3 linked regions of the Callithrix jacchus genome follow. The protein of the gene in region 1 interacts with the protein of each later gene in a biochemical or structural test. Links are inferred from orthologs where the notes say so. Each region holds a gene or a part of one and is shown in the gene's direction. Other genes may lie near its edges. The genes, in order: ASF1B, CHAF1B and TLK2.

Region 1 (7,622 bases):
CTACAGCCTGAGCAATAAGAGCGAAACTCCACCTCAAAAAAAAAAAAATCCCACAGGAACTAGATTCTTTAAAAAGAAAAGGAATCCTATGCCTAGCATAGTGAGTGAGTCCTAGTGAACCTACAGAGGTATCTGGGGAAGAAATGCTAGTGGCTTGGGTCAGAGCTATTCAGGCTTACGGCCTATGAGTGTGAACACTGTCCAGGGCACCCTTAGAAAGGCCTCTCTGGGGAGAGGACATCTGAACCAAGACTTGAATGACAAGAAGGCATAAGTCATATCAAGAGCCCAGGAGAAGATGTTCTGGGCGGAAGCTCTGTGCTGGGAGTGGCTTGTTGGATCTTTTTTTTTTTTTAGACAGAGCCTTGCTCTGTCACCCAGCTGGAGTACAGTGGTGCAATCTCGGCTTACTGCAACCTCCACCTCCCAGGTTCAAGCGATTCTCCTGCCTCAGCCTCCTGAGTAGCTGGGATTACAGGCACATGCCACCATGCCCAGCTAATTTTTTTTTTTTTTTTTTTTTTTTTTTTTTTTTAGTAAAGACGGGGTTTCACCATGTTGGCCAGGCTGGTCTCCAACGTCTGACTTTGTGATCCACCCACCTTGCCCACCTTGGCCTCCCAAAGTGCTGGGATTACAGGTGTGAACCTCCACGCCTGGCGGCTTGTTGGATTTTTAACAATAAGAGGGCTACTTAGGCTGGGTTGAAGTTGGAGCTGGGTGGTTAACAGGAGACAAAGCACAGAGTTTGGAAGACGTTTTCATCCTGAGAAGTGACCTGATCAAATGTGTTTTGATTATTACTGGACACCTCCGCTGTCCAGTAATACAGTAGCCACTTGTCACCGGGGCTCAGGAGCACCCAACAGTGGCTATCAAGACTAAACCGCCCTTTTTTTTTTTGTTTTTTGGAGACAGTCTCGCTCTATCACCAGGCTGGAATGCAGTGGCTCGATCCCGGCTCACGGCAACTTCTGTTTTCCTGTTTCAAGCAATTCTCCTGCCTCAGCCTCCAGAGTAGCTGGAACTACAGGCATGCACCACCACCCCCAGCTAATTTTTTTTGTATTTTTAGTAGAGATGAGGCTTCATCATGTTGGCCAGGATGGCCTCGATCTCCTGACCTTGTGATCCACCTGCCTCGGCCTCCCAAAGTGCTGGGATTACAGGTGTGAGCCACTGCATCCAGCCCCCTGAACTTTTTTTTAAATTTAATTTTAATTTTTAGAGACAGGGTCTCACTCTGACACACAGCCTGGAGTGCAGTGGCTAAACATCCTGGGCTCAAGTGATCCTCCTGTCTCAGCCTCCCAGGTAGCAGAGTACAAGTGTGCACTATCACACCTGGCTTATTCTTTTATGTTGCCCAGACTGATCTTGAACTCTTGGCCTCAAGAAATCCTCCATGCCCAGACTCTAAAATTTAATTTTTAAACAAAGTAAAATTTAAATTAAAAAAAAAAAAAAAAAAAGACATGGCCGGGCGCAGTGGCTCACACCTGTAATCCCAGCACTCTGGAAGGCCGAGGTGGGCAGATCACTTGAAGTCAGGAGTTCAAGACCAGCCTGGCCAACATGGTGAAACCCTGTCTCTATTAAAAATACACACACGAAATTAGCTGGTTGTGGTGGTGCACACCTGTAATCCCAGCTACTCAGGAGACAGGCAGGAGAACCGCTTGAACCCGGGAGGTGGTGGCTGCAGTGAGTCGAGATCGTACCACTGCACTTCAGCCTGGGTAGGTGAGTGAGACTCCGTCTCAAAAAAAAAAAAAAATACAAAAATTGAGCTCGTGGAAGACTCTGAAGTACGTCGAGAATAGTAGGAATGTGTGAATCTACATTTTCAACTGCAAACCTTATGAAACATAAGAAACCAGATCAACGATTTTTTGAAGAAAATGTATTCACATGCCCGATGACAGACGTGCAGCTGAGTGTACAACACAAGGAATCTCAACGTCTTTTCACTGGGTAAAAGAACGCAACACGCTGTGTGTTAGCGGCTCAGAGCTGTGGCTCACGCCTGTAATTCTTGCACTTTTGGGAGCCTGAGGCGGGCGGATCACTTGAGGTCAGGGGTTCGAGACCAGTCCGACCAACATGGAGAAACTCCGTCTCTACGAAAAAACAAAAATTACCCAGGCATGGTGGTGTGCGCCTGTAATCCCAACTACTCCGGGGTGGCTGAGGAAGGAGAGTCTCTTGAACCTGGGAGGTGGAGGTTGCAGTGAGCCAAGATGGAACCACTGCACTCCAGCCTGGGCCACACAGCGAGACTCGGTTTTTTTTTAAGTGGCTTCCAAAAAATGTATAATTAGGTGCGCGGCAGGCATTACTTTTCCACTGGGCAGCGCTGATTTCCCGTGGGACAGTCTCCCAGGCGACGGCCCAGGTGGGATGCGGCGGAGAGAAGTTTCTGGATGTATTATGTGGTCATGAGTCATGCCAGGGAATTTCCACGGCCCGTTCAATGGGAAGGGAGACGCTGCCTCGAAAGCCGAGTAGCAGAGCACCGACTCGAACTGGAACTCCCATTTTCAGTTCCGTCCGCTTGAAACCTCCCAAGAGCCCACCAGGGGGCGAGAAAGGGATTCCAACCCCTCGGGGGCAAGAACGGGATCCAAACTCGGCCAGACTCCCGAGGTCCGAGCGCGGCGCGTGACCGCCACTCCGAACGTTCACAACGTTCACAACGGACACCCGGGCTGCTGCACCTCGAGGTCAGGAGCCAGCCACTCAGAAAAGCTCCAGCAGACGCTCACCTGTTGAACAGACGCTGAGGCCGCAAACGCTCCTCCTCTCTCTTCACACACCCCGGCACCAGGGTAACTCCCACTTCCGCTTCTCTCCAACTAATCCCCAGCTGAGCCTCCTTAGGCTCCCGCTTTCATTACCAATCCAGCCAATCAACTCTCAAAAAACCCTCTTTATCTCCGCCCCACTCCCTCCTGCCAATCACTGGGGGTGCGAGCACCGCCCTTCCCGCCTTCTTTAGCGAGCACCGCGCGCCACCGCTCGGCGGTTGGCGGCGCTGCGCGCTGCGGGATACATATCCCGGAATAGTGGGGCGAGGGGCGGGCCACGCCGGTGCGGGAACCCTCAGGATTGGCCAGCAGGAGGCCGGCGCTCTGACTCTGTCCACTCCTGCCGTTGACCTCCTAGTCGGAGACGCTGGGGATTGGTTCCCAGAGGACACGCTAAGAAGCCTGGAGGTGGTTCCACCCTCCTCACGCTCCGCGGAGAGGGAGCTCCGCTGATTGGTCCAAGGAGTCTGGGCGCGCGCCGACTGGCGCTCCAGGATTGGCTGAGAGGGTGCGCGCGCCGCCAGGGAGCGTTGGCGGTGATTGGCCAGAGGGCGGAGGCCGGCTATTTGAAGGCGGCGCGCGTACGAGATGCGCACTTCAGTCCGCGGAGGGAAGAGTTTGGAGTGGGTTTTGTCAACCCTACCCCGCTGACCTCACCACCGGACCCAGACGCGGCCTCGGCCACAGCCCCTGCCCCTGCCCCTGCTGCAGCGCAGTGAGGCGAGGCGAGGCGATGGCCAAGGTGTCGGTGTTGAACGTGGCGGTACTGGAGAACCCGAGCCCTTTCCACAGCCCCTTCCGGTTCGAGATCAGCTTCGAGTGCAGTGAAGCCCTGGCGGACGGTGAGGCTGGGATTGTGCGGGTTAATCCCCACCCTCGGGCCGACCCCGGCCTCCCCGCGGAAAACTGCTCTCATGGCCAACTTGATCTCCCCCATGAAACTCCTCGTCCTCCCTCTCAGCTAACCCCGATCTCCCCCAGCCCGCCAGTCAACCCGGTGTCCGGGTGGAGACCCCCCCCCCCCCAGTCACCAGCCAACCTGGACCTCCCCGGGACTTCCTTCCCCACTGCCCGCATTGACCTCCCGGGTGGAGGCTTCCCGCTAGCCAACTCGGACATCCCAGTGATCTTCGCCACTGCCCGCCCCAACCTCCCCATAGAGATTAACGCCCCCCACCCAAGCCCCATTTCCAGCGTGGGGAGCCTCATCCATCTTTTTTCTTTGGAGCTCTTCCGAGGTACCCATTTTCATGCAGAGACCTTCTCGGCCTCTATTTCTTAACCCACGGAGATCTTCAGCCACTGTGGCTTCCCTGTGGCAAGACCCCTGTTTCAGCCACCCACCCATTTTTGCCCACTTAGACTCTTTCCTATAGTGAGATACTCCCATCTCCCTTTTTCCCTCTGGAGACCCCACTCTCCAGCCCCTTCCCATTTTTCCCGGGGAAAATCCCAGCCATTTTCTATTTCCCCTATGGAGACCTCTCCCCCAACTCCCTTCTCCCCCCACCGTGAAGACCCTCCCCTCCAGTAACCTTTTTTCCCTATGAAAACCCGTCAATCCCTTGTCAAGACCGCTCTCTTCCCCCATCTTCCCATCTGTCTCCCGGCTCTCCCCTCCCCAACCTGCCGATATTTCAATAACCCTGCCCCCCACCAATTGCTGCTGGTTTTCTACCCCAATGCACATACCCTGGAACCTGATTTCCCTCCTTCGTTGGGGCCCAACCTCCCTATCCCTGAGCTCCCCCGGGGAAGGATGCTACCCTTTGCAGTAACTTGGTCTCCCCAGCTCCCTTTCCCCACCCTCTTCTGTGGGCTTGGACATACACGCTGAGATCCGAGGGGTGGCATAGCCAGGCAGGCATTAGTAGTTCCCCAGGTTTGCCCGCCCATTTCCAGCTGACTGACTGCAGCAATTCTTCGCTTTTTCTTCTTTTTTTGAAAGAGAGTCTTGCTCTGTTGCCCAGGCTGGAGTGCAGTGGCACTTCACTGCAACTTCAGCCTCCTGAGTAGCTGGGATTACAGGCGCCTGCCACTACGCCCGGCTAATTTTAGTATTTTTAGTAGAGGCGGGGTTTCACCACGTTAGCCAGGCTGGTTGCGAACTATGGACTATAAGTGATCCACCCACCTTGTCCTCCCAAAATGCTGGGATTATAGGCACAGGCCACCACAGCTGGCCAATTTTAGTATTTTTAGTAGGGTTTCACCATGTTAGGCAGGCTGGTCTCGAACTCCTAACCTTGTGATCCACCTGCCTCAGGCTCCCAAAGTGCTGGGATTACACGGGCATGAGGCACTGCGCCTAGTTTTCTTCTTGTTTCTTCTTCTTCTTCCTTTCTTCTTTTATATAGCTGGATAATCAGTGCCAAGCTTCCATTGCTTTTGATGGTCTGACCTAGTCTGGGGGTGGGTGGACTGGGCTGAGCTCTGACAGGCTCCAGCTTCAAACAGTCAGCTGGAGCTTAGGGGTCACAGCCTCTTACGCATCTTTTCCAAGGTGCTTCCGCAGATGTACTTATTAATCTGTGTGACTTAAAGGTGCACATGGCTCTCATCTCACAGATGAGAGGACAGGAGGCACAAAGCGCAAAAGACCTTTCACGTCAAGGCTTGTACAATCCAGAATCTAAGGTCACCCAGGGAGCCTTGGCACCACTAAAAGGCGAGTCCTGCTTTCAGGAAGAAGTACTTCATTAGGCCATTTTTCTACTTGGTGGTTAAAAGAGAAAAGGCACAGCCGAGGAGGTGGCCGTGCAGTGGCCTGTGAAGCCGGGGGTGCTAACTAGTGCCTCTTGGGGTCAGGTGGGTGGTTTCCCCTCCAAGCTGGTGGCGTGTATTAGCTCGGGGCTGATACAGTGAGATTCAGATGTGCTCTGGGTAGGCCAGTAGGTCCACCTCTTCCTGAGGAGTCTACTTGTGGCTAACTATAGAATAAGCCAAGTTAAATCCTTTCTGGAACAGGGCAGCATGTAAATAAATAAAGTGTAGAATGTCACTGTGGAATAAGATTTAATTTAAAAGCCAGGAGGAGATGGAAGGAGGTAATAGGCTGAGGGATTCCCAGCTTCCAGGCGGCAGGAGATCGGGTTTCAATCAGCCTGTTTGTGTTCCTTGCATTTACAAATGGTGATGCGGTCATTATCTGATACTTCTACTCCTAGGAAGCTCCTGTCCTGTGACTTTACTAACTTACTTAGAGAATTAGTTGGAAAGGCTAAAGTCAACCTGCTGGTATTTTTTTTTTTTTGAGACAGAGTGTTGCTCTGTTGCCCGGGCTGGTGTGCAGTGGCACGATCTTGGCTCATTGCAACCTCTGCCTCCTGGGTTCAAGCAATTCTGCCTCAGCCTCCTGTGTAGTTGGGACTACAGGCACGCACCTCCATGGCTGGCTAATTTAGTAGAGATGGGATTTCACCACGTTAGTCAGGCTAGTCTCGAACTCCTGAACACAAGACTTGGCCTCCAAAAGTGCTGGGATTACAGGCATGAGCCACCTCACCTGGCCCTGCTGGTCATTTTTTAATAGAAATGGAATGACTTGGCGGGGCACAGTGGCTCACGCCTATAATCCCAGCGCTTTGGGAGGCCGAGGCGGGTGGATCACGAGGTCAAGAGATCAAGACTATCCTGGTCAACAAGGTGAAACCCCTTGTCGATACAAAAATTAGCTGGGCATGGTGGTGCGTGCCTGTAGTCCCAGCTACTCGGGGGGCTGAGGCAGGAGAATTGCTTAAACCCAGAAGGCGGAGGTTGTGGTGAGCCGAGATTGTGCCATTGCACTCCACTCTGGGTAACAACAGCGAAACTCCATCTCAAAAAAAAAAATGAAATGGAATGACTTCTCAGGGGTCACACAGCCAATTTATAGAAGTATTGTCACTGATTTCTGAATCTAAGTTCTTTATCTTCACAATCTTTATCTTTCCAATTCAGGGAAAGAAAGGAAGGATTCCCTATTTCAGAGGTGGAGCATAGATAACGAACGACCATAGAATGTATTGCCAAATGAGGACACTCAAAACTCAGTGAAGGGGTGTGCTATTATTATTATTTATTTTTGAGATGGGGTCTCACTCTAGTGTCACCCAGGCTACAGTGCAGTGGCGCAATCTCAGCTCACTGCACTCTCCACCGCCTGAGTTTAAGCGATTCTCCAGCCTCAGCCTCCCAGGTAGCTGGGACTACCAGTGTGTGCCACCACGCCTGGCTAATTTTTGTATTTTTGGTAGAAACAAGGTTTTACCATGTTGGCCAAGCTAGTCTCAAACTCCTGACTGCAAGTGATCTGCCTGCCTCGGCCTCCTAGTGCTGGGACTACACTTCGAATCCCAAGCGCCTGGCCAGGGAATGCTATGATTAACTGCACCTGGATGATAAAGCTTTTTCTTCAGGATACTCAAGTGAGAAATCCGGGCTTTTCCAGTCCTAGGGCTGTCTGTGACTGCTCTGCCAGCTTGTTTTCTGCCTCTTTCTGGCCTCCTCTCCATGAAATGAGAGAATCTGCCTCAATCTCAGCAGTGTCAACTGAAGATCTGACAAAACCCCTAACCCAGCTATGTGAGGTGGCTCATGCCTGTAATCCTAACCCAGCTATGTGAGGTGGCTCATGCCTGTAATCCTAACCCAGCTATGTGAGGTGGCTCATGCCTGTAATCCTAACCCAGCTATGTGAGGTGGCTCATGCCTATAATCCCAGCAATTTGGGAGGCTAAGGAAGGAGGATTGCTTGAACCTAGGAGTTTTAGGCCAGCCTGGGTAACAGCAAAACCTTGTCTCTACAAAAACATCAGAAAATTAGCCAGGCTTGGT
Region 2 (7,072 bases), on another chromosome or scaffold:
TTGCTTTTTAAAATTTTTTTTTTGTTTTTTGAGATGGAGTCTTGCTCTGTCACGCAGGCTGTAGTACAGTGGCATGATCTTGGCTCACTGCAACCTCTGCGTCCTGGGTTCTGGGGTTTCTGCTGCCTCAGCCCCTGAGTAGCTGGGACTACAGGCAAACACAAGCACACCTGGCTAATTTTTGTATTTTGAGTAGAGATGGGGTTTTGCCATGTTAGCCAGGCTAGTCTTTGAACTCTTGACCACAGGCAGTCTGCCTGCCTTGGCTTCCCAAAGTGCTGGGATTACATGCGTGAGCCATGACACCCAGGCAGTAATTGCTTTTTTCCTCTTTGGTTTTGGATTCTAGGGGCCACTTAGAAGATGTGTATGATATTTGCTGGGCAACTGATGGGAATTTAATGGCTTCTGCCTCTGTGGATAACACAGCCATCATATGGGATGTCAATAAAGGTAAATGATCTGTTTTGTTATTATCAGCAGGAAGAAATATTCTAAGTGTCTATAAAAGCCTTTTCTTGAGGCCGTCTTGCTTTGTCGCCCAGGCTGGAGTACAGTGGGGCGATTGCGGCTCACTGCACCCTCTGCCTCCTGGGTTCAAGCGATCCTCCTGCCTCAGTCTCCTGAGTAGCTGGGACTATAGGTGTGTACCCCCACATCCAGCTAATACTTGTGTTTTTAGTAGAGATGATTTCATCATGTTAGCCAGGCTGGTCTTGAACTCCTGACCCCAGGTGATCTGCCCGCCTTGGCCTCCCAAAGTGCTGAGATTACAGGTATGAGCCATTGTCTCTGGCCCTGATTTCCTGTAACTTTATTTTTTTATTTTAATTTTTTTGGAGACAGAGTTTTGCTCTTGACCAGGCTGGAGTGCAGTGGCGCGATTTTGGCTCACTACAACCTCTGCCTCCGGGTTCAGGAGATTCTCCTGCCTCAGCATCCCCAGTAACTGGGATTATAGGTATGGGCTACCAGGCCTGGCTAATTTTTTTTATCATTAGTAGATACAGGGTTTCACCATTGGCCAGGCTGGTCTCAAACTTTTGAACTCAAGTGATCCACCTGCCTTGGCCTCCTCAAGTGCTGGGATTACAGGCATGAGCCACCAGGCCCGGTCTACTTACTTTAACTTTAAAAGCAACACAACCAATTGTTTTAGTTAATTGAAGTAGACAGTTGGCTCAGCAGGATAGGGGTCAGTCTCATATGCCATGGATCGTCAGAGTGTAAGAGGCTTAGCAGCCTGTCATCTTACCTGCAGGCGAGTTACTGATGCTGAGGCCAGGCAGATCCCACATGGAGGGGCCTGCAGGTAAGATGACAGGCCCAGGCCCTGCCTTTATGGAGGCTAGGATCTTGGGAAGATTAACAAGTCACTTATAATTTATAGGGCATGGCATGCTGGTTGGTGGGGTAGGTGGGATCAGGTTTCCATTTCAGAAGATCAAGGAAAGCCAGGGACATTCTGTTCTCTAGTTGGGGAGACAGTTGACATGTGAAAAGTTATAGTGGTATAAAAATAGCTTTGAAATGCCAAAAGCAAGCAGGGGCTAATTCCTAACCATTTTTATCCCCCACCGTCCTTTATTCAACTTTGTTTTCTCCTAAGCGTCTTCCTGCCAATTCTACAACTCAAGTCCCTGGGGAGGGGAGTTGGTGTTGGCTGTCCCCGAAGCATTGTGTCAGCCCAGCTCTCATCCGGTTTATAAAAATCTTCGCTCTTTTTCGTTCCATGCTGTCCAGCCAAGCCGTCCTCCATCCTGTCTTGTTTGTTTGTGTGTTTGTTTGAGACAGAGTTTCACTTAGTCGCCCAGGCTGGAGTGCAGTGGTGCAATCTTGGCTCACTGCAACCTCTGCCTTCTGGGTTCAACAATTCTCCTGCCTCAGCCCCCAGAGTAGTTGGAATTATAGGCACCCACCACCACACCCAGCTAATTTTTGTGTTTTTAGTGGAGACAGGGTTTTTGGCCAGGCTGGTCTCGATCTCCTGACCTCAAGTGATCCACCTGTGTTGGCCTCCCAAAATGTTGGGATTACAGACGTGAGCTACTGCTCCTGGCCAGGATTTTAGGTTTTATCTTGAGTGTGATGTGTTGCTACAGAACCTCACCAAAAACCTCAAAAAAAAAAAAAAAAAATGACCTGCCAGACACAGTGGCTCACTCCTGTAATCCCAGCACTTTGGGAGGATTGCTTGATCCCAGGAGTTCAAGACCAGCATGGGCAACATGGCAAAACCCTATCTACCAAAAAAATACGAAAATTAACTGGATGTGGTAGTACGGGCCGATAGTCTCAGCTCCTCGGGCTGCTGAATCTCTTGAGCCTGGGAAGTTGAGGCTGCATTGAGCTCTGATGGTGCTACTGCACTCCAGGACCAGACCTTGTCTCAAAAAAAAGAAAAAAAAAAAGGAATGGCCAAGGCTTCGTAACTCCCTTGTCCTTTTATGCAGGCGATCTCTGTGTGCTGAATATTTTCTGAGTCCCTTTTCTATCCCTGTTCACATTGTCTGCTCTGGGCCCTCTTCATCTTTTTCCTGGTCTACTCGGTCACCTCCTAACTAGTGACACTTTGTCATCTTGTAAACCTGTTTGAACTTTAAAATGCAGATGACTTCTCAGCTTGACTACCCACAGCCCTTTCCTTACACACACGGTCTGTAATATTTCTCCTTTCCTCCTTATCTTCTGTTCTTGGCCCTCCAGTGTACCCATTAGCAGTTTTTGGTCACCTGTCACTGCTCCGTATTCACTTCACTAATCTGTCTTTTTTTGGGGGACGGAGTTTTGCTCTTGTCGCCCAGGCTGGAGTGCAATGGCGCCACCTTGGCTCACTGCAACCTCCGCCTTCCAGGTTCAAGCAATTCTCCTGCCTTAGCCTCCCAAGTAGCTGGGATTACAGGCATGCACCACCATGCCCAGCTAATTTTTGTATTTTTAGTAGAAATGGGGTTTCACCACGTTGGTCAGGCTGGTCTTGAACTACTGACCTCAGGTGATCCGCCCTCCTCAGCCTCCCAAAGTGCTGGGACTACAGGCATGAGCCACCTCGCCTGGCCACACTAAGCTGTCTTAACCCCGTGGATTTCCTTAGAATACCTTCTTCCACCCTTCATCTCCTCCTCATCCTGCCTGACCTGGGGAACTGAACTTAGATCTTCTGGGACGCGGTGCCCTGTGCTATCAGCTCCCCCTCCTCTCCCGGTCCACATGTGTGATACTTGCCTGTTGATGGGTCTGTCTGATCTGTGAGCTCCCTGACGGTGGGGACTGCATGAAATCATCTTTGCAACACCAGAGCCTGACACAGGGTTTAGTACGGAGTCTCTCACTTATGCCCGCTGAGTGATACATGGTAAAAGGGAATAATATTTATGTCATAGTTTATGCTATTTGGGCTCAAATAAGTTTTGATAATGCTGTTTTGTGTGTGTGTGTTTTTTGTAGGACAAAAGATATCGATTTTTAATGAACATAAAAGTTATGTCCAAGGAGTAACCTGGGACCCTTTGGGTCAATATGTTGCTACTCTGAGCTGTGACAGGTACATTCGGCTTTGGCAAGCTGTCTTTGTATTTACTTGGAATTTTCTGCAGAGAGATTTTTATCACAACTTAACCAAAATTTATCATAGTCTAGCTTTGATTCTTTTGTTCTTGCTTTTATACTCATTCTTATAATATGATCAGAAATTGAAAATTAATTAGGGCAAGTGCCTTACACGAAGTTTGTATTTAGTAAATCCTTTTTGTTTGTTTGTTTGTTTCTGGAGACAGAGTCTCAGTCTGTCACCCAGGCTAAAGTGCGGTGGCGCAGTCTCAGCTCACTGCAACATCTTCCTCCTGGTTTCAAGTGACTCTCCTGCTTCAGCTTCCCTAGTAATTGGGATTACAGGTGTGCACCACCACACCCGGTTAATATTTGTGTTTTTAGTAGGGACAGGGATTCACCATGTTGGTCAGGCTGTTCTCGAACTCCTGATCTCAAATGATTGGCCTTCCTTGGCCAACGTGCTGGGATTACAGGCATGAATCACCACGCCCGGCCTATAATATTCTTTAGGTTGCTAATACTCACTTCCTTCATCATTATCCAGTTGTGAATATCACTGGTAAAAGATTTTGCAGGCTGAAAATTGTTGCGGTGGTTATAGGCTGTTGGTAATAAGTTGTTTCTGTGTGAAGCATAATTCATGTACTAGAAGTGGTAAATCAATGTGTTCTTTCTTCAGGGTGCTGCGAGTATACAGTACACAGAAGAAGCGTGTGGCTTTTAATGTTTCGAAGATGCTGTCTGGAATAGGGGCTGAAGGAGAGGTACACAATATTTTGCCATTCTTTTTCAGCAGCACTTTATTAGGAAGTCACGAGCTCCTCCCATACCCTTGTGGCCAAATTATTGGCCTCAAGGACCCCATTCCTGAACTATAATAAGGCCTCCTCTTGGACAGTCAAGGCTCAGTTAGTGTGGTGGGCTAATCTGTATGGAAATGGGGACATCTGGAGACCAAGGGAGAGCCACCAATGGAGGACAGGACAGTGGTTTTCAACCCTGGCTGCACTGTAGAATCACCTGGGAAGCATTATAAATATGGGTGCTGGCCGGGCGTGGTGGCTCACACCTGGAATCCCAACACTTTGGGAGACTGAGGTGGGCGGATCACTTGAGGTCAAGAGTTTGAGACCAGCCTGGCCAACATGGCCAAATCCCATCTCTATGAATTACAAAAATTATCTGGGCGTGGTGGTACATACCTGTAATCCCAACTACTCGGGAAGCTGAGGCATGAGAATCACTTGAACCTGGGAGGCGGAGGTTGCAGTGAGCTGAGATCATGCCACTACACTCCAGCCTGGATGATAGAGCGAGACTCTGTTTCAAAAATAAAATAAAATAAGGCTGGGCATGATGGCTCACACCTGTAATCCCAGCACTTTGGGAGGCTGAGGTGGGCAGATCACCTGAGGTCAGGAGTTCGGGACCAGCCTGGCCAACATGGTGAAACCCCGTCTCTACTAAAAATACAAAATTAGATGGGCATGGTGGTGCATGCCTATAATCCCAACTACTAAGGAGGCTGAGGCAGGAGAATTGCTTGAACCCAGGAGGCAGAGGCTGCTGTGAGCTCAGATCGCGCCATTGCACTTCAGCCTGGGTGACCAGAATGAAACTCGATCTCATATAGATAATTAATTAAAATAAAATAAGAATAAAAATATGGATGCCTTGGCCCCAGCCTGAGTGGTGTGATTCACTTGGTTGGAGGTAGGTAGGGCTGCCATGAATCTCAGATGTAGTGAGGGCTGGTCACAACTGATCTGGGAAGATCCCTACATGAGGTAACAGAAGACAGGCAGTCCAGCTTTGGATCTGTCTGGCAGCATTCACTTTACTATCTTGGCAGGTAGATAGAGAGCTTTGGTAGCAGACAGCAGAGACGCAGCCAAAACTCTGTTATTTAGAAATAGGAAGGATTTTGACTTTGAAAGAATTGGCAAATGAAAATAGGACTGTAGTCCTAAAGGACTCAAGGCTACTGAGGCAGACACCAAGGTACAGGGGAGTAAGCCGGTTACTGGCTTCACATGGGAACTTGGTGCACATCCCTCCAAGAAAGCAGGGTAAGGCAGTGTGGGCTGGCCACTGACATGCACTGAGAGGTCACACCTGCGAAGTAAGAGTAGTAATGCCGGCTGGGTGCAGTGGCTCATGCCTGTAATTCCAGCAATTTAGGAGGTGAAGGTGGGCAGATCACCTGAGGTCAGGAGTTCAAGACTAGCCTGGCTAACATGGTGAAACCCTGTCTCTACTAAAAATACAGAAATTAACTGGGCATAGTGGCACATGCCTATAGTCCCAGCTACTCCGGAGGCTGAGTCAAGAGAATTGCTTGAACCCAGGAGGTGGAAGTTGCAGTGAGCCGAGATTGTGCCATTGCCCTCCAGCCTGGGCAACAAGAGTGAAATTCCATCTCAAAATAAATAAACAAATAAATAAAATAATAATAATGCCTGCTTCCTTGTGTTCTTAAGAATTAAATGCTTGCTTGTTTGTTGAGACAGTGTCTGGCTCTGTCTCCCAAGCTGGAGTGCAGTGGTGTGATCTTGGCTCACTGCAACCTTCACCTCCCAGGTTTAAGTGTTGCTCCTGCCTCAGCCTCCCGAGTAGCTGGGATTACAGGCGTGTGCCACTATGCTTGGATAATTGTATTTTTAATAGAGACGGGGTTTTGCTATGTTGGCCAGGCTGGTCTCGAACTCCTGGCGTCGAGTGATCTGCCTGCCTCAGCTTCCCAAAGTGCTGGGATTACAGGTGTGAGCCATCATGCCCAGCACATGCTTGATGTTTATAAAATGTCAATAAATAGTAATAAGACCTGTGTTAGACAGGTGTTCAAGAAATGTTGTTTGGGAAGATTAATGATAACCAGTTTAATAATCCACTATTTTCTTTTTTAAAAAGATACATTTATTAATAGCTGGAGGTGATGGCATGTGCCTATAGTCCCTGCTACTCAGGAGGCTGAGGTGGGAGGATTGCTTTGAGCTCAGAAGTTCTAGGTTGCAGTGACCTATGATTGTGCCGCTGCACTCTAGCCTGGGTGACAGAACAAGATGCTGTCTCTAAATAAATAGGCTGGGCGTGGTGGCTCATGCCTATAATCCCAGCACTTTGGGAGGCCAAGGCGGGTGGATCATGAGGTCGAGAGATGGAGACCATCCTGGCCAACATGGTGAAACCCCATCTCCACTACAAATACAAAAGTTAGCTGGGCGTGGTGGCATGTGCCTGTAGTCCCAGCTACTTGGGAGGCTGAGGCAGGAGAATTGCTTTTATCTGGGGAGGTGGAGGTTGCCGTGAGCCAAGATTGCATCCTTGCACTTCAGCCTGGCGACAGAGCAAGACTCCATCTCAAAAAAAATAAATAAAAATAAAAATAAATAAATAGAGTACATTCATTTGGAAATTCTAAATGAATCCACACAGATAGAAAGCAAAGGTCTCCTGGTCATCTTCCCACTGTCTCCCAGTCTCAAGCCCCAGTTGACCCACTGTTGACCCTTTGGTTTGT
Region 3 (7,072 bases), on another chromosome or scaffold:
CATCTTCATTCTAGTGAGAAAGATGGCTTAACACCAATCCTTACCCCATATGTATCTGATGTTTTGGGAAGTCTTTTTCTTGATATTCATTTAGTAAGTCTGTGTTAAATGCTTATTTTATGTTAGGCCCTCTTCTGGGAATACAGAGCTAAAGGATTCAGCCCCAGCCTTAGGAGCCCACAGTTTACTTAGGTGAGATGAACAGATAAATAAACTAATAATTACATTAAGTTTAGTGATAAAAATGTACATAATGAACTTGGAAAACATCTTGATTCATAAAGCTCCAGTTTTTTTTTTTTTTTTTTTTTTGAGACAAAGTCTCATTCTGTCACCCAGAGTGGAGTGCTGTGGCACAATCTTGGCTCACTGCAGCCTCCATCTCCCGTGTTCAAGCCATTCTCCTGCCACATCCTCCTGAGTAGCTGGGACTACAAGCGAACCACCACAGCCGGCTAATTTTTGTATTTTTAGTAGAGATGGGGGTTTTGCCATGTTGGCCAGGCTGGTCTAAAACTCCTGATCTCAAATGATCCACCCTTGTCCGCCTCCCAGATTGCTGGGATTACAGGCTTGAGCTACTGCACCCGGCCCAAATGTTTTAAAATTAGAGTCTTTTTTCCCCTTGATTTTAAAAACTAGTCAAGTGCAGTAATGAGAATGAGAAGAGGGGAAGATTATCGAGTCTTTAAATATTTTCCTTTCAGCAAGTCCAAGTAGGGGCTCAGATTTGAAAGATTCTCCAGGCTAATTAATCTGATCAGTGTTTTCTTTCATGACTCCTGTGTTTATTTTGTGAAGGGACTTTCCCTCTAGTATCACTTGAAAATTATTTAATGCTGATGCATAAAACCATTGGATTAGGAGTGATGAAGAAGGCAAAGGTTGTTTCTTTGCCACAGAACAATAGTTAGAATGGAATCTAGGCTAGTAATGTGTAAGCAGTTGGCATCTGGAGTCCTGTGTAAAATCCAAGCTAGAAGACCTTCAGTCCAGTTTTTAATTAGAGTATCTGTGACTTGGCTCTTATTTTGACCAGAAGCCAGATATAGGCCTCTGAAGTCTTGGAGTAAGTCATAATATCCTTTCTTGGCCCTGAACCTGTTTCAGACAGATAATTCTTAGCCATGATTTTTTATTTCTCTGTTTTTTGCTAGTGTGAAATGGAGTAGTAGATGCAGGTATTTCTGCATCTATAAAGAGCCCTAGTGGATGAGTTTGTTCTATTTTCCTTGAGTTAGACATCAAAGGCTCTGTTCTGGTTGATAGGATAGGTGTTTCCTCTTTCTTCTGCAATTTAGAATATATCTAAACAGTGATATCTAAAAATGTTAAGTATCTGTGTATGATTCTAGAATGTGAAGAAGGTAGAGATGGAAGGAAGAATAAAATAATAATTGTAACTTATTGATCTTTTTTTTTTCCTTTTTTTGTTTTTTTTGAGACGGAGTTTCGCTCTTGTTAGCCAGGCTGGAGTGCAATGGTGCGATCTCGGCTCACCGCAACCTCTGCCTCCTGGGTTCAGGCAATTCTCCTGCCTCAGCCTCCTGAGTAGCTGGGATTACAGGCACGCGCCACCGTGCCCAGCTAATTTTTTTTTTTTGTATTTTTAGTAGAGACGGGGTTTCACCATGTTGACCAGGATGGTCTCGATCTCTTGACCTCGTGATCCACCCACCTTGGCCTCCCAAAGTGCTGGGATTACAGGCATGAGCCACTGCGCCCAGCCCTTTTTTTTTTTTTAAAGAGAGTCTTGCTCTGTTGCTCAGGCTGGAGTGCAGTGGCATGATTATAGCTCACTGTAGCCTCAACCTCCTGAGCTCAAGCAGTCCTTCCATCTCAGCATCCTGAGTAGCTGGGACTACAGGCATATGCCACCATGCTCAGTTTTTTCTTTCTTTTTTTTCCCCTGCACAGAGACAAGAGTCTTGCTTTGTTGCCCAGGCTGGAACTCCTGGCTCCAAGTGATCTTTCCCCTCAGCCTCCCAGACTACTGGCCACTGAGGCTGGCCACTTGTTTATTCTTGAGATATAAGGATGCTGTTGGAGTAGGTGGAATATGAAACACATGAATACCCATCAAGTCAGCCCTTTGAGAACTGGTTTAGATAGCATTTTCAATGTTCTTTTTTCGTTGTCGTTTAATAGTCCCAACGTTTTCTTAGATAGGTATTATCACTTGCCGCATTTCAAAAAAACTGACTTAAGAAATTAAAGTTGTTTGCCCAAGGTCACATGGCCAGTATCTTATTAATACCTTGAACTCTAGTCCTCATACTCCAAATCGTAGACTCGAATTTGCTTTTATGTCTTTCTCTTTGTTATTATAGCATCAAGGTTTAGGTGTTAACAAGAATAATCAAATCCATTGACTGACTGTTTTGGCCTCTAAAAGAATTTTAAACAATTTTTGGCTCTCTCTGAATGAGTTTTTAATCTGAGTAAATTGGACGAAACTCATTTCAAAAATAATATAAAATGCTGTTAAAAGAAAGTCATTAAGAAAAAGAAAAAAAATTTTAAATATGGCTCACTTTTTTTTTTATGTTTTGCAAATTAGGCTTTTTGGCTTTGAAGTCTTTCTCTCACATCATATCTAATAAATCGCGGAAGTTTTTTCTTGTCAGAGGACTACAGGATAACCTATCCTTCAGTGATTTTAACTGAGACTGAAACTGAATTTGTCTTATTGTATATTTGGGCTATTCTCTTCAAATAGGCAAACTATGATTTCAAGTAATTTACTGAAACTTTTAACCACTGTTTTTCAGGTTAACATTAGCAGAATACCATGAACAAGAAGAAATCTTCAAACTCAGATTAGGTCATCTTAAAAAAGTAAGTATAATGAGAAAATCTCTCTGGAGAAATATGTTACCCAGTTTACATTTAGGTTTTAAGCTATTTGGTCATTTGGGCAAATGTAATAGTAGTTTCACATAGTGGCAGAAAGCTTGAGTGACTGCTTTCACTGTCACGTCTCATAGCCTAATGGTAGAACTCATATCTTTCTGTTTTCTTTTTTTGAAATGGAATCTCACTCTGTCTCCCAGGCTAGAGTGCAATGGCATGATCGATCTTAGCTCACTGCAACCTCTGCCTCCTGGGCCCAGGCGATTCTTGTGCCTCATCCTCCTAAGTTGCTGGGATTACAGGTGTGCACCACCACAGCCAGCTAATTTTTGTATTTTTAGTAGAGATGAGGGTCTCACCGTCTTGACCAGGCTGGTCTCAAACTCCTGACCTCAAGTGATCCTCCTGCCTTGGCTTCCCAAAGTGCTGGGATTACAGGTTACAGGTGTGAGCCACCATGCCTGATCTATCTTTCCATTTTCAAGACAATTCCAGCAACCCAATGAGAGTGTTTTTACCAGTGATCTCTCAGCAGATAATTCTGAACATATAAGGCTTCCCAAGTGGTTATCTTTGGAGTGAAACTTAATTATTTTTTTAATATTTAAATTTTAAGAGCAGTTGGTTTTAAAATTGATGTTAAGACTCCTGCCATATTTTAAATCACATGTCAGCTCTTATTTCTTGCCTAAACTAGCTAATAAGAGAAAGTCTTATGCCAGTCTTATTCAGACACAAAGACACATAACATAGAATTTATTATTAATGATGTTCACTAAGATATCTTAGATGTAGATTGCTCCGCTCTTGAATTCAGAAACCCATACATTGGTGGATGCTATTTACGGTGATAATGGTTAGTAAGGATTTACTGAACTGCTTTTGGTATATGTGCATTTGTTTGTTTTTTATTTCACATATTAGTTTTCATGCCGTTTTTCCCGCTGGGTTCTCAGAGCTTGTTAAATAAGTAGAACTTAAGGCATCAAGTGTAATCCATATGTAAAGAGGAGGACCAGATAGATGACCTGATTTTTGTAAAAATTGTTTCTATGTCTATATGTATATGCACAAAACATTTCTGAAAACTTAACGTAAGAAATTTGATAGTGGCTACATCTTGGGAGTGGGTGTGGAGAGGAGGGAGGAGAAGGGTAGAGAGCTACTTTTCTCACTGAACTCCTCTGTATGGTTTGAATTTCATTATTTTCTTTTTTCTTTTTTGAGACAGAGTCTTGCTCTGTCACCCATGCTGGAGTGCAGTGGCTTGATCTTAGCTCACTGCAACCTCTGCCTCCTGGGTTCAAGTGATTTTTCTGCCTCAGCATCCCGAGTAGCTGGGATTATAGGCACGTGCCACCACGCCTGGCAAATTTTTGTATTTTTAATAAAGATGGGGTTTCAGCATCTTGGCCAGACTGGTCTTGAACTCCTGATCTCATGGTCCACCCATCTCGGCCTCCCAAAGTGCTGGGATTACAGGCGTGAGCCACCGCACCCAGCCTTTGACTTTTATTATTTTCTATGGGCTTATTATGATTAAAATTCTTATCTTTTAAAAATAAATCTTTCAATGCAAAATACCTTTCTTTAGCTTTTCATAAGACAAATGTCTGCTGTTGCTTTTGAAATAAGATCCCAGAAAGGTAAAGTTCCCCATATTTTGAGCTATTTCTTTCCTTTTTGCTTTAGGAGGAAGCAGAGATCCAGGCAGAGCTGGAAAGGCTAGAAAGGGTTAGAAATCTACATATCAGGGAACTTAAAAGGATACATAATGAAGATAATTCACAGTAAGCAACTTGGGGGTATATTGGGTTGGAGATTGCTAAGCACTTTCTGATATGAATTGAATGGTCTGGAATAATGCATTTGCTTAATATAAGTTACATAAATGATTCCATAGTGTATAGTTCTTTTGTAGCATCTAATACAATTTTGTGAACAAAATTATGATTTGCCTTGGTTTAAATATATAATTGTATTAAATTTATGTATTAAGTATATATGTGTATACACATAGCATTTTTACCTGAGTAGAGATTATTAAAACAATATGGCTTGGTAATTGTAAATGGCTGAAATACATTGCATATTCAGTTTTACCTACAGAGCCTTAAGAAAGGGAAGCATAGTTCATAGTGTGGTGTTGTGGAAAGAATATTGGGCTGAGATGACACTCAGTTTCTGAATGACCTTTAAGAGCCATTCAAGTGTTGAGACTAAGTAAGACTCTTAAGTTCAGTATATTAATTGTAGATTAATGCCCACCATTGCTTATTAGTCATTTAAGGAATTGAAGATGGGAAAAGTAGGTTGAAAGTAGAAAGGGGCTTTTATAAGTAATCTGTTTTTTTCCCACATTTTCGGACCCTGAAACATTTTTTCACAAAGCCATAGTGTGCGTATTTTTGTTTGGCTTATAAGAGCTATAGACCTTTCTTTCTGCTAGAGTGGCAGACAATAGCAGGTACTACTTCCTGAAAACTCTGTGTATCAGGCTTGATCCTAAGTGCCCTTAGTGCTCTCATTTAATCCTCAGGATAACCCAGTCATCTGCAATACATCAATCAGAAAACAAGCTTAGAGAAATTAAGTTAACTTGACCCAGGGACCCATAAATAATGTGACTAAAGAGTTAAACTTGGATCTTTTTCATCCCAACCACCATGCAGTAATGTATCTCCAAATAGGCATGCTACTTTCTTAAAATCAAAGTAAAGTAACTTCAGGATTAATAGTGAGATTGTGTAAGATCAGGAACTAGGTAAAAATATTTTAAAATTTGTTTTTGCCAGAACTTGTCATTTCTTTATCATATTAATTAAGAAACTACCCAAGGTGGAATGTAATATGGGGAACATAGTTATATCATAGACCTTGTCTTAAAGAGAGAATAATGAATGCACATAGAACATGTGACTTCACTATTCTGCAATCAATTTGTAAGGAAATAACAAATTTCTTGGAATTTTACTGTGTGTAGTTTGGAAATGGTGGGATCATGTGGATCTTGTATAGTTTGGAGGAGGAGCCAAATAGCACAATTTAAAAATCCCTAATCAAGTCTAATCTACCATCGCTCATTGTGTAGCAGGGCAGAAAAAAGGAGGAACAACAAAGGTCACAGATCTAGTGTAGCTACACTGAGACCAGCACTCGAGTCCTGTGGCTCTACAGCTAGTGCTATTATTCATTGTAATTATGCTGCCTCTTTGAACTGTGTAAATTTATTCTCAGAATTTGCCATGTTGATGTTGATTGTCAGACTACCAACAGCAGCTATAATTGTATGTATAATGTGTTAGATATTCTGGGAATTTTGCAAGCATGGAAGACGTAGTCCATGATCTCAGGGGTTACATATTTTCTGTTTCCACAGATTTAAAGATCATCCAACGCTAAATGACAGATATTTGTTGTTACATCTTTTGGGTAGAGGGGGTTTCAGTGAAGTTTATAAGGTAAGTATAACAACCTGGGATCAAAGACTGGGGGTTAAATTATCGGCTATTACTGAGTTCGAGAACATTAAGAATACCGAAAATTGTGGGTTGCTATCCATTAAAATTCAAAAAATTTAAAAACCTGTATCTTTGGGAAAACAGCTTTCAGTAAACCTAGATGACTAAGCAGGATACAATATTGATATGTTTAAGTTTGAAAAAGAAATACTTACAGATTTAAAAAGCAAGAAGGAAATATACTGGGTGGTGGAATTATGGTGATTTTTATTCTGATTCTGTACTTTCTGCCTCATACACATTCGTTAGAAAAGAGTATGTGCTACCTTTATTTCCTTTGCAGAATTGATCTGTAAAACCTATTTCCAATAAGAATAGTTTTTTTTTTTTAATTGGAAAACCTGCTTTTTGTTTTAAAAGTGTTATGGTATCATTTACTAGCACTGGCAGTCTGAAAGAGTGACCTGGCTTAGAGTGCTTCAGTTGGACCAGCAAAGTACAGCCTGCTGAGCCTCCAGGTTGATTTTTACCAAATGAGGGATCCAGCATGTTTTAAATTTAGCTACAGATCCATAACATGTGGATTGAATTTTTCTACCTGTTTCTGGAACCTGTCTGTAAAGTACAGAATTGTTTATTATGTAGTCTTCATTGTACAGCTCTGCCTTTCAAACGTTTAACCTTCACTGTTAGGATTTATGTTATGCTCATATGAATTTATATATGGGAAATTTTTTTAGTAAAATAGTTTTCATTAC

Evidence for each region.
Region 2: the proteins of ASF1B (region 1) and CHAF1B form a complex in vitro, tested with the Homo sapiens proteins (2 studies listed by BioGRID and IntAct). The link is inferred for Callithrix jacchus from reciprocal best matches to the Homo sapiens genes ASF1B and CHAF1B.
Region 3: of the proteins of ASF1B (region 1) and TLK2, one has a biochemical effect on the other in vitro, tested with the Homo sapiens proteins (3 studies listed by BioGRID). The link is inferred for Callithrix jacchus from reciprocal best matches to the Homo sapiens genes ASF1B and TLK2.

The regions. Positions count from the first base shown.
Region 1 is NC_133523.1:12,909,412-12,917,033, reverse strand, and holds the start of ASF1B (histone chaperone ASF1B), read left to right. Parts: upstream 1-3,399; 5' UTR 3,400-3,540; coding exon 3,541-3,649; intron 3,650-7,622. UniProt on the Homo sapiens protein: Histone chaperone that facilitates histone deposition and histone exchange and removal during nucleosome assembly and disassembly. Cooperates with chromatin assembly factor 1 (CAF-1) to promote replication-dependent chromatin assembly.
Region 2 is NC_133522.1:42,433,252-42,440,323, forward strand, and holds part of CHAF1B (chromatin assembly factor 1 subunit B), read left to right. Parts: intron 1-349; coding exon 350-453; intron 454-3,447; coding exon 3,448-3,544; intron 3,545-4,231; coding exon 4,232-4,316; intron 4,317-7,072. UniProt on the Homo sapiens protein: Acts as a component of the histone chaperone complex chromatin assembly factor 1 (CAF-1), which assembles histone octamers onto DNA during replication and repair.
Region 3 is NC_133506.1:87,825,583-87,832,654, forward strand, and holds part of TLK2 (serine/threonine-protein kinase tousled-like 2), read left to right. Parts: intron 1-126; coding exon 127-192; intron 193-2,771; coding exon 2,772-2,838; intron 2,839-4,545; coding exon 4,546-4,643; intron 4,644-6,232; coding exon 6,233-6,314; intron 6,315-7,072. UniProt on the Homo sapiens protein: Serine/threonine-protein kinase involved in the process of chromatin assembly and probably also DNA replication, transcription, repair, and chromosome segregation. Phosphorylates the chromatin assembly factors ASF1A and ASF1B.